2 linked regions of the Drosophila melanogaster genome follow. Changing the gene in region 1 together with any one later gene gives a genetic interaction. Each region holds a gene or a part of one and is shown on either strand. Other genes may lie near its edges.

What was found. A genetic interaction does not mean that the proteins touch.
Region 2: of ZnT41F (region 1) and ry, changing one suppresses a phenotype caused by changing the other (phenotypic suppression), as found in Drosophila melanogaster (one study listed by BioGRID).

What each region holds. Positions count from the first base shown.
Region 1 is NT_033778.4:5,779,529-5,785,131, forward strand, and holds the start of ZnT41F (zinc transporter 41F), read right to left. Parts: upstream 3,331-5,603; 5' UTR 3,249-3,330; exon of another isoform or gene 2,771-3,248; intron 1-2,770.
Region 2 is NT_033777.3:13,030,499-13,038,781, reverse strand, and holds ry (rosy), read right to left. Parts: upstream 6,255-8,283; 5' UTR 6,017-6,254; coding exon 5,975-6,016; intron 5,165-5,974; coding exon 2,564-5,164; intron 2,283-2,563; coding exon 969-2,282; intron 904-968; coding exon 853-903; 3' UTR 762-852; downstream 1-761. Other genes in the region: CG11668 (uncharacterized protein), read right to left, coding at 5-255, 308-369; l(3)87Df (lethal (3) 87Df), read right to left, coding at 7,333-7,447, 7,513-7,700, 7,771-7,800.

The DNA of each region.
Region 1 (5,603 bases):
AAGGATACAAATTAATGGTAGCTCTTTGATTGCTTAGCCAAGAAAAATTACTATTTGTCTTCAGGGTAAGAAACTCGAAGAAGATCTTTAAATAAAATTCATAAATATTGATTATTGTAGGTAAAGTAGAAATATGAAAGCCAGACGAAATCGAAAACATTATGGCAACTAAGAGCAAGTCGGTCAAAACTCCCGAGGCCAACAATGGTATCTCTTTTGGAAATTAGTTATAAACATTTTAATATTGATAACGTAAATAAAAAAAATGATAACGGGTATCTGATAGTCGGGGAACTCGACTATAGCATTCTCTCTTGTTTTCCTTATGTCTAGGGAAATGTGTAACAAGGGCAGCATTTAAAAAATAATTTTCAGGGAGAGGAATTCATGATCACTTCCAGCATCCTATTTATGTAAGCCCCTTTATGTAAACTTCAAGCTAAGCGTGCAAGAAATTACATAGAAGATTATATGGTCCCATATGTTAAACCCTGCTTAAACGTGGATTGCCTAAACGTGGATTTTACAAAAATTTTAAATAATACAGTGGTAGTTTATTGCAGATTAGAAACGTTTTCATTTTAAGTTAACTCTTAAGGAACTCTTATAAGGTAAATTGATTATTCTATACAATGTACGTATAATGATAGCTAAACAAAATGTTGTTTATTATACCCGTTACTAGTAATGTAAAAGGGTATACTAGATACGTGGAAAAATATGGAACAGGCAGAAGGAAGCGTTTCCAACCACATAAAGTATATATATTCTTGAATAGGATCTGGCCATGGCCGTCTATCCGTATGAACGTCATACTATGAACGTCTTGATTTCAGAAACTATAAAAGCTAGACGGCTGAAATCAAGCATACAGACGCAAGTTTGTCGATTTTTCTTCGTTTTATTGTTTATCTTGTCAATTTTTAATTTTTTTCATTTCATTCTCATTTTATTTTATTCATTTATGAATAATTTCGCATTCGCAATCCCACTAGCTGAGTAAAGGGTATCGGATGGTCGGGGAACTCGAATACAGCATTCTCTCTTGTTAGAATTTAAGGACTAACCAATTAAATTTATTACACTCCACAACTTAAGTAATGTAGATATGCATTTATCAACAACGGATCGCACGTTGGTGGAACTCTACTGGCAATTTAAACCTTTTTCATTTGATTCATGTATGCTTATCAGCAAAAGTAGTCCTACTAGCTTGTGTGCCGTTGGGTTATCAGCGTTGGGTTTTCTCGGCAGGTTTTGACCGAAAGCATATTGTTGCCAATCAAATCGCCAGAAGAGCTTGTTATTATCTTTGATAGACAATAAGATACCCTTTTCCTGTCTAGTTGGAGGGCAAGAGATGAATATCGAGAGATATCGGGAACTATAAAAGCTACAGGGTAATCAAATCGCTATGTATGTAAGTTTGATTCAAAACCTTACCATTATCGCTTAAGCTGACACGATCACATTTTGTATTTTCATTTTGTATATTCTACCATTTGTCTTCCCAAAAAATGTAAAGCCAACAAACGGCTAAGGCAAAGAATCTAAAATTGTTAACAATCCAAACATTTTGCGACTGTTATTATGGTTTCGAATATCAAATTAAAACAGTGTCGAAATACTGGTATTGTAAAACTAGTACTATAGTAAATAGTAGTAATAATAGTAATAATAGTAATAATAATAATAGTAACTAGTAGATAGTAAAAACTATCTCTCTGAAAACTGTATCCCTAATCTCAACTCTTTAACTTCTATAGTTCCTAAGATCTCGACGTTCATACGGACGGACGGACAGACGGGCAGGGTCAGATCGACTCGGCTATTGATCCATATCAAGAATATATATACTTTTTCAAAGAATCTAGTATACCCTTTTACTCTACTTGTAGGCCACGGAAAAACCCTTGCTTACGCTTCGCAAAAAAAAAAACGAGTTTGCAATGGGCTCGGGAAAGGATTCAGTAGGAAAATTGACTACAATATAAGCAAGTGGAGGTTTTAGATTGGCTAGATAGTCCAGATCTAGGCCCCATAAACAATATTTGGTGGCTAATGAAAAGAAAGCTTCGAATGAACCACAGAGGAACATTTGTGACCTCAAAGAGATGTGGGTATCGATTTCTCGAGAACATGGCCAAAATTTTTTTAAATCAATGCCAAAACGTATTTAATGTGTAATACAGCCCAGGACGCGACGTTACACAATTCTTATGTTAATTAGTCTGTTATACTTTGCAGCGTTCGAATTAATAGTGGCCTTTTTTTCTTATCTCTGTTGTTGTTGTTGAAAATATAACATTTTTTATCAACATGAAGAGAATAAAATTCTCTTTCAGACTAAATACTTTTGCATACGTTATCTGTAGTAGTAATGAGTATACATATCGTGTGTTGAACATTGCACACCGCAAAAAACACATGCTGTTCGAAACACAATACAAAACAATAATAGTAGTTGGGGCTCGTATTTCATTTTCTTGGCTAGGTGTTCTAGAGCACCTTTTTTTTTGGCATATTTAACCCATTATATTATATACATATATACATGTATATATAACATAATATAATTTCTAATAGCATGCATACGTGTATTAAAATTGATGTGGTTTGTAATCTATTTGATTTGTAAATATGTAGCTATGGGACGTAGCGTTTTGCGAGAAAACTACCAATAAGAATTAGATCCTCCACCAACCAGAGAGTTTAACCGCAAGTCAAAGCAAAGTAAAGAAAACAATGCCGGCGCTGAGCGTGCACTGACCTTATCAGCAGGTTTGACTTTGGCAATGAGTAATAATTTCGACCGCGGCTCTCTTTCTCTCATATGTTTCTACTCAGCTGCTGATGCTGCACATAACTATGCACATACATATGAATGTACATATGTACGTTCCGTTGGAAAGAGAGATCACAACGGAGCGCCCATTCGTTGTATTCACTCTCACGTATCACACTGAACCATTGGCGTTAGTCTCATTTAGGCTTAATTGCGTAAAATTCTGATATTAAAAACATATTCATTTTAAACTCTTCAGAACATTAAAATTTAAATCATTATTATGACTTGTTCGTATCCAATCGTATTTTGTAAATCTTCCAGTTCCCAGCCATATGCGCATTGCATGGACTATGTAAACAAAATATGTGAATGTACGAAATACTCAGTTGAGAGACTACAATAATGTTCCGCTGTCGTGCACTATCAGCTGGTGTTCTCTTTTTATCGTACACGGCCCTACTCGCTGTAATTGTTTTAGATTTCCGATCGTCAGCGACTGCTTACTTCCCGGCACACCCGGCGACGCGTGAAGTTCAACTAACAGCGGTGACGGCGTCGCCTTCTCAGTTGGTTTCTGGGTAGAGCGAGACAGTGATAGTGGGGGCATTTTTCTCTTGAGTGGCGACGCTTGAGTGGTTCTCAAAGGACTTGGGAATTGCGTCTGTTGTTCGCTTATCAAAATAAGAGAGAAGAGTCTAGTTCCTCTACAATCAGAAATATCATATACCCATCACTCAGCTAAGTGGAGTCAGAAAAGAATGTGCCATAAGTAGGATCGTCGAGATCTCTGGCACTATAAATGATAGAAGGTTGACCCATGTATCCATTTTCCAAAAAAATTTTTGATACGCCCACTCTAACGTCCTGAAGCTGCCGAACCGGTCAAATTTTAAGTTTTTTCTCATTTTATTCCCCAACATCTATCGATATCCCAATAAAAAAAATAAATCGTGCAATTTCGGGTTCGCATTCACACTAGCTGAGATAGTCGGGGAACTCGACTATAGCATTCTCTTTTCGTTTATATTCTATTTCTTAATTTAAAAAAAAAAATCATTAGGCATCTGAAAGCCAAAAGCAAAAAGGAAGTTCTTAACGTCCTTAACGTCCGATCCGAAGACGCTAGACACTGATTATGTATATGTAAGGTACATATCAGATCATTTCAATTGGTTTCTTTAGTGTAACCGGAAAATTAAGTCGACGTTATCTACACTTTTGTGCTCGCGAACGTGATTATAAACACAACTCGAAGACTAAAAGGTAATCTTTAAAAATAAGGTTCAAGATAACGTTTCTGGCGCTATAAAAAATACATTTACACTTTATGACGAGTTTCGATATCGGGGAACTATAAATCGACACAGTTGAGACTAGACTTATCAGCGGTTCGATCCTTATCAAGTTCATCCACAGTAAAGCAGTATTATCAAATACTGTTAAAATTAAAATATGTACATAGTAATATGAAAGGCGTTTATCCTTAAAAACAAGAAAGTGGAAGTAAGATATAAATTTTTCAAACGGATTTTCTGGATCATATATTCATATTCATATTCGACTCTACAATTTAGTTGATATCAATGGCGCTTAAACACCGCTCAATTCATCACTTTTTCAATGTGTTTTAATCACTATATCCGTACTTATTTTTGAAGAGAGAAATTTCCATCGTCTTGTTGTCAGGTTCTTTTCAGTTTACGATTAAACTTAAAGTAAAATATATTATTATACCTTTAAAGATTTCTTTCTGCTCATGAAATTATTATATTACCTATAATAAAAATCGCAGGAAATCCGATAATCCATTTCGTTTTCTTACTTTCTTTTTTCTCATCCCCGCCCCATCCTTTTTATCAAGATGCAAAAGCACTTAAGCAAAATCTGCTTCCCGGAATGTGGTATTTCTTATTACAACGGGACCAATTAAAGGAGATTGTTATAAAACAGTTGTATGCAGTGGTGCTTGTCATAAAGAACGGATGAATAATCGAATTTTCTTTGGTTGTGTTTTGATTTGACAAAGAATGTATGTGTATGAATGTATGTATATGTATTAAGCAAATGCACTTTCGACGATCATTTAGCTAAGTTATTTCAAACAGAATAGCTATGCTTAGAGAAAACATTGGTGTGCAAATTGGAAGAGGAATTAGAGTTGTTAATTAGGGTTAATTAAAGTTAATAGGTGGAGTTTGTAGCGACCCCTGAAGCTATTATGTTAGAACACCCTGAAAGCTTGAGCCAAGCTTTGGGCGTGTAATCAAGGGTCATATTAAATGCAGTATTAGTCATAGGAAATATACTGGACGAGATGCAAATCTTTATCAGCTGAACTAGGAAAGTTTTGGATAGCTTGGTTATCACAAATGGAGTGATTTCCAGATGATCATGATTTCTTCTGATGGCCTAGACCCAGGCTTGAGTTTCCGTTCTATTTCTTTTCTAATCGAACCGTCGTAAAGTCAATTCGTGAACATTTTTTTCATTCAACTGTTTTTTAGAAAATTATAGCCTGCGCGCGTTAATGATATAATAATCTAGCGAGCTTTCCTCGCCGCAAAACGGTATGCGGTCTACATTTTTTTTGTGTGTTTTTTCCCAGGCGGAAACTTAATCTGGAAAATCTTTTGCTTGGAGCAACAACAACGCCACGCAAAAAAAGTGAAAAGTGATCAGTCAGTGATCAGCCGGCTCGTGGAGCACCCTTTCGTGCTGTCCCGGGGAGCACCCCGTTGAGCTCCCGTGGAGCACCTCTTTCCATCGATTAACAGACATAAACAAAACCTACGATTTTTATTTAACTTTAACACAT
Region 2 (8,283 bases), on another chromosome or scaffold:
GCACCTTGTTCGCTCTTCGAGATGCTGGGCGGCGGCAACAAGTATCCGCCGTGTGGACAGCAAACCAACTGATTGGGCCACGATGACGGACAGAGTAGTGGTGTCACCCGGGGCACTGCCTGCATGGCACTAATGCAATCCACGTACCGCACACACTTACCAATCAGCGGACGATCGTGGGCTTGGCAATTTCCGTATATGTCAATCGATAGATACGATGGAGCCACTGCGTTCCAAGGCGCATTCTGTGCATATCTATTGTAATAATGGTTGTAGTGATAGCAACAATTGTTCTGCCGATACGAACGCTAACGTCGAAATTAAGACGAACTCTAAAATCAATCTGTATCCAAATGATAGCTTTCCCATCTCGGATGTCCGAGCTCTACGACGTCAGATTGCCGACTGAGATGCTCGCGAAGATCTCGTCTCATAACCTGAGTTCCATACAAAGCTTCTTTTGATTGAGCTTATATTTTCGGTTAGCAGTCGCGCCGAAATCGGAACTCATATTTCAATTCATCGGAAAACTTGCTCAACTTTCATTAATATACTCAAAATAAATAGTGACTAAGACTTTTCAATTGAAAATCAGAATGCATTGCATGCCACGAGATTCTATTGAATAATAGATAGAACAAAAAAGTAACCATTGAATTTTTCTTAATCTAAAAGGAATATTTAATATTAATCAGTGGTATATAAATTTGTTCAAACAGCTCTCCAGCTTAGTTTACACATTAAACGACTCAATTATTTTTAAAACATTTAATTCACTATGTATATATAAACAAATTAACAAATAAAATCGTCATTTTAAATGCTTAAGCAGTACAAACAATAAAAACAATTTTAAGGCACAATGTTCCATGGCGTAAATGATCCTGGTTCGGGTATTTCAAGCTATAATTAATAAATTAATAATAAAAGTTAGTTTAATGTTATAAACTAATCCAAGGGTAACTTACCAGTTCCGTGAACTTATCCTGACAAGCAATTCGAATGCGTGCCGATGTGGAAGGCGCCTCCAGTGGGAAGTCACCACTCAAGCCCTGATCCTCGCGAGCAGCTGCAATGGCCTCCTTAATGGCAAAGAATGCAGATGATCCAATGAAGAGCGGAGGTTCACCCACTGCCTTGGAAGAGTAGACTGCCCGTGGATTGGGGGCACCGGTCAGTAGGCTGACATTGAACTCCCCGGGAATGTCGGCAAATCCTGGCAGCTTATACATGCCCGGACCTCTGGAGTAAAGCATGCCTTGTGGTGAGTACATGAGTTCCTCCAAAGTGAACAGTCCATAGCCCTGCATGAATGCTCCCTCGATCTGACCAATGTCAATAGCCGGATTCAGGCTGGAACCGATGTCCATTACGATGTCTGTGCTGAGCACCTGATGGTCGCCAGTCAGGCAATCGATCTCTACCACAGTGACTCCCACGCCATTCGTGTAGTAGCTATAGGTGCGGGCATTGGGATTCGTTTCCGGGTGATATCCAATCCCGGGCATGGCATAGAATCCTGTGGCCGAGAGGCTGACCCGATCGAAATACGCCTTGTTGATCCACTCCTTCCAGGTGCCTCCAGGCAATGCCTCCTTGATGGGCGCCAGTCTTTTGTTCAACTTTTCACACGCATCCAGTACGGCCATTCCGTTCAAATCGGATCCCACACTCGCCGCCGTGGGTGAAGTGTTGGGTACTTTATCCGTGGCCGTTTCCGAAATGTGAATCAGTTCCGAAGGAATCCCCAGAGCCCTGGCGGCGCACTGAATCATCTTGGTATTCAGACCTTGTCCGATCTCAACTCCTCCGTGCGAAAGCAACACGGATCCATCACCATAGATGTTGATCAGCGATCCCGCTTGGTTCAAGTGCATCACTCCAAATGCGATTCCATACTTGGTAGGCACCACCGCCATGCCGCGTTTCCGCCAGCGATTCTCCCGATTGAATCGAGCAATCTCCTGCCGCTTCTCGTCGTATCTCGACTGCTTCAAGCAATCCTCCAGACACCGCTCGATGGGGAAGTGCTCCAGCTGCTGGTGGTAGTGTGTGTAGTCTCCAGTCTTGTAGAAGTTCAGCCGCATCACATCCACCACATCGCGACCCACTATCCGGGCCACATCCCGGATGATATGCTCACCGGCGTACATGCCTTGTGGTCCTCCAAATCCACGGAAGGCCGTATTCGAGGGCAGGTTCGTCTTGCAGACCCATCCACCCACGCGAACGTTGGGAATCCTGTAGCAATTCTCAAAGTGGAACATGGCGCGCTCAAGAACCTAAACATAGGATTTATATATTAGATCATTTTTAAGAATTTTTAGATTATTATTTATAATTGTTTATGTCAATATAATCCTGGTGCTTGCTTTCCTGATTAGACCTAAACATTCTTAAAAGTTTCAAACTATTTGCACTCAGGATGATAACATATAGGGGTCCTAGAAATTCCCACACTAACCAGATGTTCAATGGAAAATACAACACATGGATATTTGAGCAAACATGGTATGCATAAAGAAACCTACATATGGATTTTCCATAAACCCACCACTCTTACCGAAAATGACAGATCCATGGACCAACCGGCATTGTTGTAGCACTCAATGTCGCAGGCAGTGATCAGACCCTCCTTGGTGAAGCCCACTTTGTATTTGAAGAGGAAGGGATGCCTGGTGCCGGTGATAAGCATGTCCTCATCGCGATCCAACATACAGCGCACAGGACGACCCATTCGATAGGCGGCCAGGGCAACGGGTAGGGCCACGGAGATGCCTCTGGACTCCTTGCCGCCGAAACCGCCTCCCAAACGCTTGGCACGACAGACGACACGGTGGGCAGGAAGTGCGGTTACATGGGCCACTAGCTTCTGCACCTCCGAGGGATGCTGCGTGGAGCAAAAGAGTTCCAGCTCATCGCTGTCACGAGGTACCGCCAATGCAGCATGGGTCTCCAGATAGAAGTGCTCCTGTCCGCCCATTCGACAGGTGCCCTCGAAAGTGTGATCCGCCTGGGCTAAAGCCTCCTCCACATTGCCCTTGGTCACGAATCGAGGGTAGTCCGGGAAATAGGACTTGTGCTCGATGGCCTGCTCTATGGTCACGATAACCGGGCTCAGCTCCTCGTACTCCACTTTCACTAGCCGAGCGGCTCTTTGGGCCAACGCCTTATTATCGGCAGCTATGGCGCCCACTATCTGACCATAGCAATGCACTTCTCCAGCAGCAAAGACGTGCTCATCATGAAAGACGGGTCCCACTTCGTTCTCGTGCTCCGTTAAGTCCTTGTAGCAAAAGAACTGATGCACTCCGTCCAGGGCCAGAGCTTCACTGGCATCCAGCTTGGTGATCTTGGCACGTGGCTTGGTACTAAGGACAAAGGCCAGATAAACTTCACCATCCATGCGGGGAATGTCATCTGTGTAGATAGCTTCACCAGTGGCCTGTTTCAAAGCAGCCGCATGAACTTTTGGTCTCCCAATGGGATCACAGATGGGTTGATCGCTGCAGACGCGCTCGAAGAGCTGGGCACTTTTGAGTACTGGTGTGTGGAATGTCTCGGCACCACTTCGCTCCTCCGATGGCAGAGCATCGGAAGATGTGATCCCTGACTTGCTCAGCTTCAGGGAAATGGCCAGATAGGCCTTGAAGAACAGGCTCACCACCAGAGCTCGACGATAGGCGATCATGCCACCCGGAGCGGAGGCAGCCAAAGGCAGCTCCGTGCACAAGCTCTCCGCCACGCGCTCCACGAGCTGGTGGCTCCACTCCTGCCCAACCATCAGTTGGGAAGTTCGAGGAGCGAGCACTGTGGTTGGTGCCATTCCACCAAAAGCCATCGAGATCTCCGCCACAATGTTGGATTTTTCCTCAAAGCGAACGTTTATTGCGGCATTTACGATGGCTATGTCATCATCCCTTCTCCTGGCCTGCTTAAAAGCAACGATATACTGGTCCGGAGTGGTCTTCCGAAAGTGGATGCCCAGCAGCACCTCGTGGGCTTCGATAACATTCCTGCGATAGCCAGTGAAGAACCCAGTTCCCATGTGAACTGATCTCTTTTGGAGCTTTCCATCCACAAAACTGGCCACCTCCAGTTGAGCTCCTGCTGCCGAGAGCACAGGATTCATATCGGAAATGGGACTACCGGTCATGATGTTTCCACCCAAACAGGCGACGTTGCGGATCTGCTTGCCGGCAAAGTAGTGAAGCATATCCACGGTGCACTGGAACAATCTGGTCTCCGATTCCGGCAGCTGCTCGATTCTCTGCCGCAGAAGCGCATCGATCTCCATCAAACTGACAGCCGCACCGAAGTAAATGCCATCCTGGTTCTCTTTGATCTCCAGCAGCTCCTTCACCTGGGTGGGATTAATGAGGTGCGGGTAGAGGAAGTGCTTGAACTTAACCTCAACGCCCACTTCCGTATTGCCCACGACCAGCTTGGCAGCCGGATGTTTGGCCTTCAGCTGAAGCAGCTCCTCCAGATTGGTGGGACGATACCAGGTCACCCTATCCGAACTAAAGATCAAACTCTGAGAATCGAAGGCGTCACTCAGCTGAAGTTCCGGTGGGAAGATGGGTTCCTGGCTGGGATCCAAGGGCTGGAATTCGCTGCGCTCGAAGAGCTTGTCATCGGTCTCCGCATCGGTTCCGCATCCTTTCCCACTAACTTTGCAGCACTTCTCGCCCATTCCGCAGGCAAACTCCTTGGTGAACGTCTTGTAGCCCTCGAGAATGGGTCGATAGCCGGTGCAGCGGCACAGGTTACCTTGGAATGCCACCTCCAAGTCTCGCATAGAGGGTTGCTCCGCGTTCCGCAGAAGTGCGTACATGGACATCACAATGCCCGGCGTGCAGAAGCCGCACTGGGATCCGTGCGCCTTGGCCAGTCGCTCCTGCACCGGATGCAGACGCGTTTTGGTGCTCCCTATACCCTCCACAGTGGTCACCGCACATCCGTGCATCGAGCACACTGGCGTCAGGCAGGCGTTGACCGCCAGGTGACGTATCTTGTTGGCCCGACGGTCTAGGCGGGACACCATCACGGTGCAGGCGCCGCATCCGCCTTCCGCACATCCCAACTTCGTTCCGCACAGCCGCAGCTTTTCGCGCAGGAATGTGAGGAGCGTGCACTCCGGATCAGGCGACACTTCGGTCACCTGGAATAAGAAATGTATAAATATAATAAAATGAAAAAAACGAAATCAATTTCCCAAAAGTATCTAATGCCATTTATCCATTAATGGGAAAATTTGTATCTTGTATCTTGTAGCTTTAAGATCTGTACCTACTTAATTATAATTGCTATAATTATAAGTTTATATGGTTTAAAGCAATTGTTTGTCAAAACTGTGACTTTGTTTAAACTTAAAACAGCGAAAGTGTTATCTGCTCTGCCAGCCCTGAGCAAACAGAGATTGCTATCTATCACTATCAAATGCCGGGCGCACGAGCAACTGGTTATTTATTATTATTTACTTCACTTGTGCGCAAGCTGTGAGCACAAAGTAAAGAACTCCAACTGCACTCCACCAACACCAGATGCTAAATATGGCCAGCTTTATCTGAATAATCCAGCCGAGCTCACTGGATTGTAAACACCGCACAGCCGGTGGGAATGTGCGGATTAGAGGGCCTGGCTATCTGGCAGACACAAATGCCCATGACGATCCCAGCTCACCCACATCCGAGTAGCACTGCTCCCATGCGCGATTGGCAAGTGCACCATCTTGATCGGGCGATAAGGGGCCACCAGCAAACAACGAGGCTTCACATGGGGGTCAATTGTTATCACTATATGCACAGCAAATACTATATACATTCGACACATTCAATTGAGCAAGAAGGCAAATTCCATCGAATGCCAGTTAAACGCAATTAGGGCAATAAAACAATAAAGGGAATCGATATAGTAGGAGTGGGCCGACTTTAAGGAAAGACACGCAAGGCATCCGAGTATCTTTAAGTACCTTCTTTCCATTCACGAAAAACACCAAAACCGAGTTAGACATCGTGAAGTGCTATGTATCTGTAGCTCACGGTATCTCGCTGTATCTCAGTACCAATGCCTATATAAGTGTTAGCCTGCAATTACGAAGCTCGTTTACATATATGGAGGGGAGGAGGTGCGTTCCTTGAATGTAAAGCGAAAACAAGTTTTTTATTTCAAAATTAGAGAACCGACAACCTCATGTGCCCGCCGATTAAAAAACAACACAACCGTCTCGCGCCGTCAACGAAAACGTAATGAATGTGCCAACAGCCAGCCGAGCAATCCATCCAAACGCCGACTTTTATTTTTGTGAGATAAGACGAGCGACCGACGAGTGCAGGATCGCCTACATGTGCGTGGAAATGGCCATGTCTAGGGGTTACGAGGCAGCAGTTCTACTACCTGCTATCTCGGATTAGAGCAGATACCCATCCGAGATCGGTGTGGTCAGCTAGGAAAGCAATCTGTCAGATAAAATCGTACTGATCACTATTCAGCATGAGAACTGCAGCTTTTCTATCTCAAGAATTAAGACCATTTTGAAGATTGTCCTTCAGTCTCAAGAAACACCAAAACCTCGGTATAGTGAAGTTATTTATCTGTATCTTAAAGTTTTCTAGTACCACGATACGCTTTTTTTTTAAACAAAATGTTCACAAGGTGTTCAAACTAGGCAAATATATAAATCTATTTCCTAGCTATATATCTTCCAGATTTATAAATAGTATCGAATTAGGGGTATTTCAGAGAAACGTACATGAAATGCAATTATTTTTCAGAATATTAATTGAAACTTACTTTTAGATACTTTTTTAACCTTTCATTTCATTTTTGTGATATGGCTCCCACTCAAGTAAAAAGTATACTATCTAAAGTTGTAAAAATGGTGCATTAAATAACCCTTTTACGTACCAGAACGTATTGAATATACAACTTTTAGACTGTAAATTTTGCTTTTATGTAAATGGTAAAAAAAAACTATTAAAAAGTTAAAAGGTCGTCAAAATGGGTTCAAGGTTCTTCAAAAGTAAACAACTAGCTCTATCAGCTTAAATCAAATCGAAAGCACAATAAAGCCCAACAGGTTTTAGGAACCACAATCATTAAAATGATGGATTGATTTCTGTCAATCCCAAATCAAAGATGGTGGCATAATTAATTCCCTACGAGTGGCAAGCTAAGATTTCACTTACAACATATATATAATATATTGGCTACTATAAAGTTTGGTAACAAAAGGTAGTTTACAACACAAGGGATTTAACAATGCCAGGATTACTTGGTATCCTAGAGTGAAAACAAACATCGAAGTAGTAATGAAGGATCTGACTTATGCTACGCCGACTTCAGATCTAAGTCTCTCTCCCTTTGGGTGCCCTCATAAAGGGCTTGTCGTCTCATCGCCTCACGCAATTGCTGCTGCTCGAATCTCCTGACGGACCATTGATACCTGCGGATGCCACATTGATAATTAAGTGATAAGGGCGCCGCACGGTTTTAATCACAGTCACTTACCTGCAGGTCATCCAGTAGGCGATGGTGCCGCAGAAGAAGGAGCCGAAGCCCACGTGGGTGGACAGGTGGGTTCGCGAGGTGCCCAGAAAAGTCAGCAAGCCGATGCCGATTCCTCCGCTGATTCCGTAGAGAAAACTGTTACGAAAGCACGGGATCTGCGCCACATCGCGTCCGAAGATAACGAAGCTCTATGGGAGATTAAACATAGTTAAAGCTTAATCAGGCACCTGATGTCCAATAGATTTATGTAATCCATACCTTGGCGGGTTCCTCGGGTTCTTCGGCCATGCTGCAATTGCAATTTTAAAAGTCAAGTTGCAAAGCAAAACAAAACAAAAGTGTGACCCTGACGTTACTAAATAATAATACCACGGACATGTTAGGGGCATTCCAAAAACTGATATAAAATTAGTTATTCCACTCCTATGCACTAAGAAATTTGGACTTATAATTAAAAATAAGTGTAGCCTATATTTATAGCTAAATTATGTTGATTTTCTTGCATACAACATATAGCGTAAAACCTTTACAACTAGTTTAATTTGCGCCTTATCGAAGTCGTTGCCTATCGAACCAGAATCGATTACTCGTTTCTTGCACTAGAGTCGCTCTTATAATTGCATTTTAAGCATTAGGCAACACTGGTCGACGCTAGCAAGAAGAATTTAATCACAATTTAATTTCTTTAGTTTTTTGGGTTTTTATTTAAATTAAGAGCACGCATTGAATCAAAAACGTAATCAGCGCCAATCAAATTGAGTTTTCAATCAG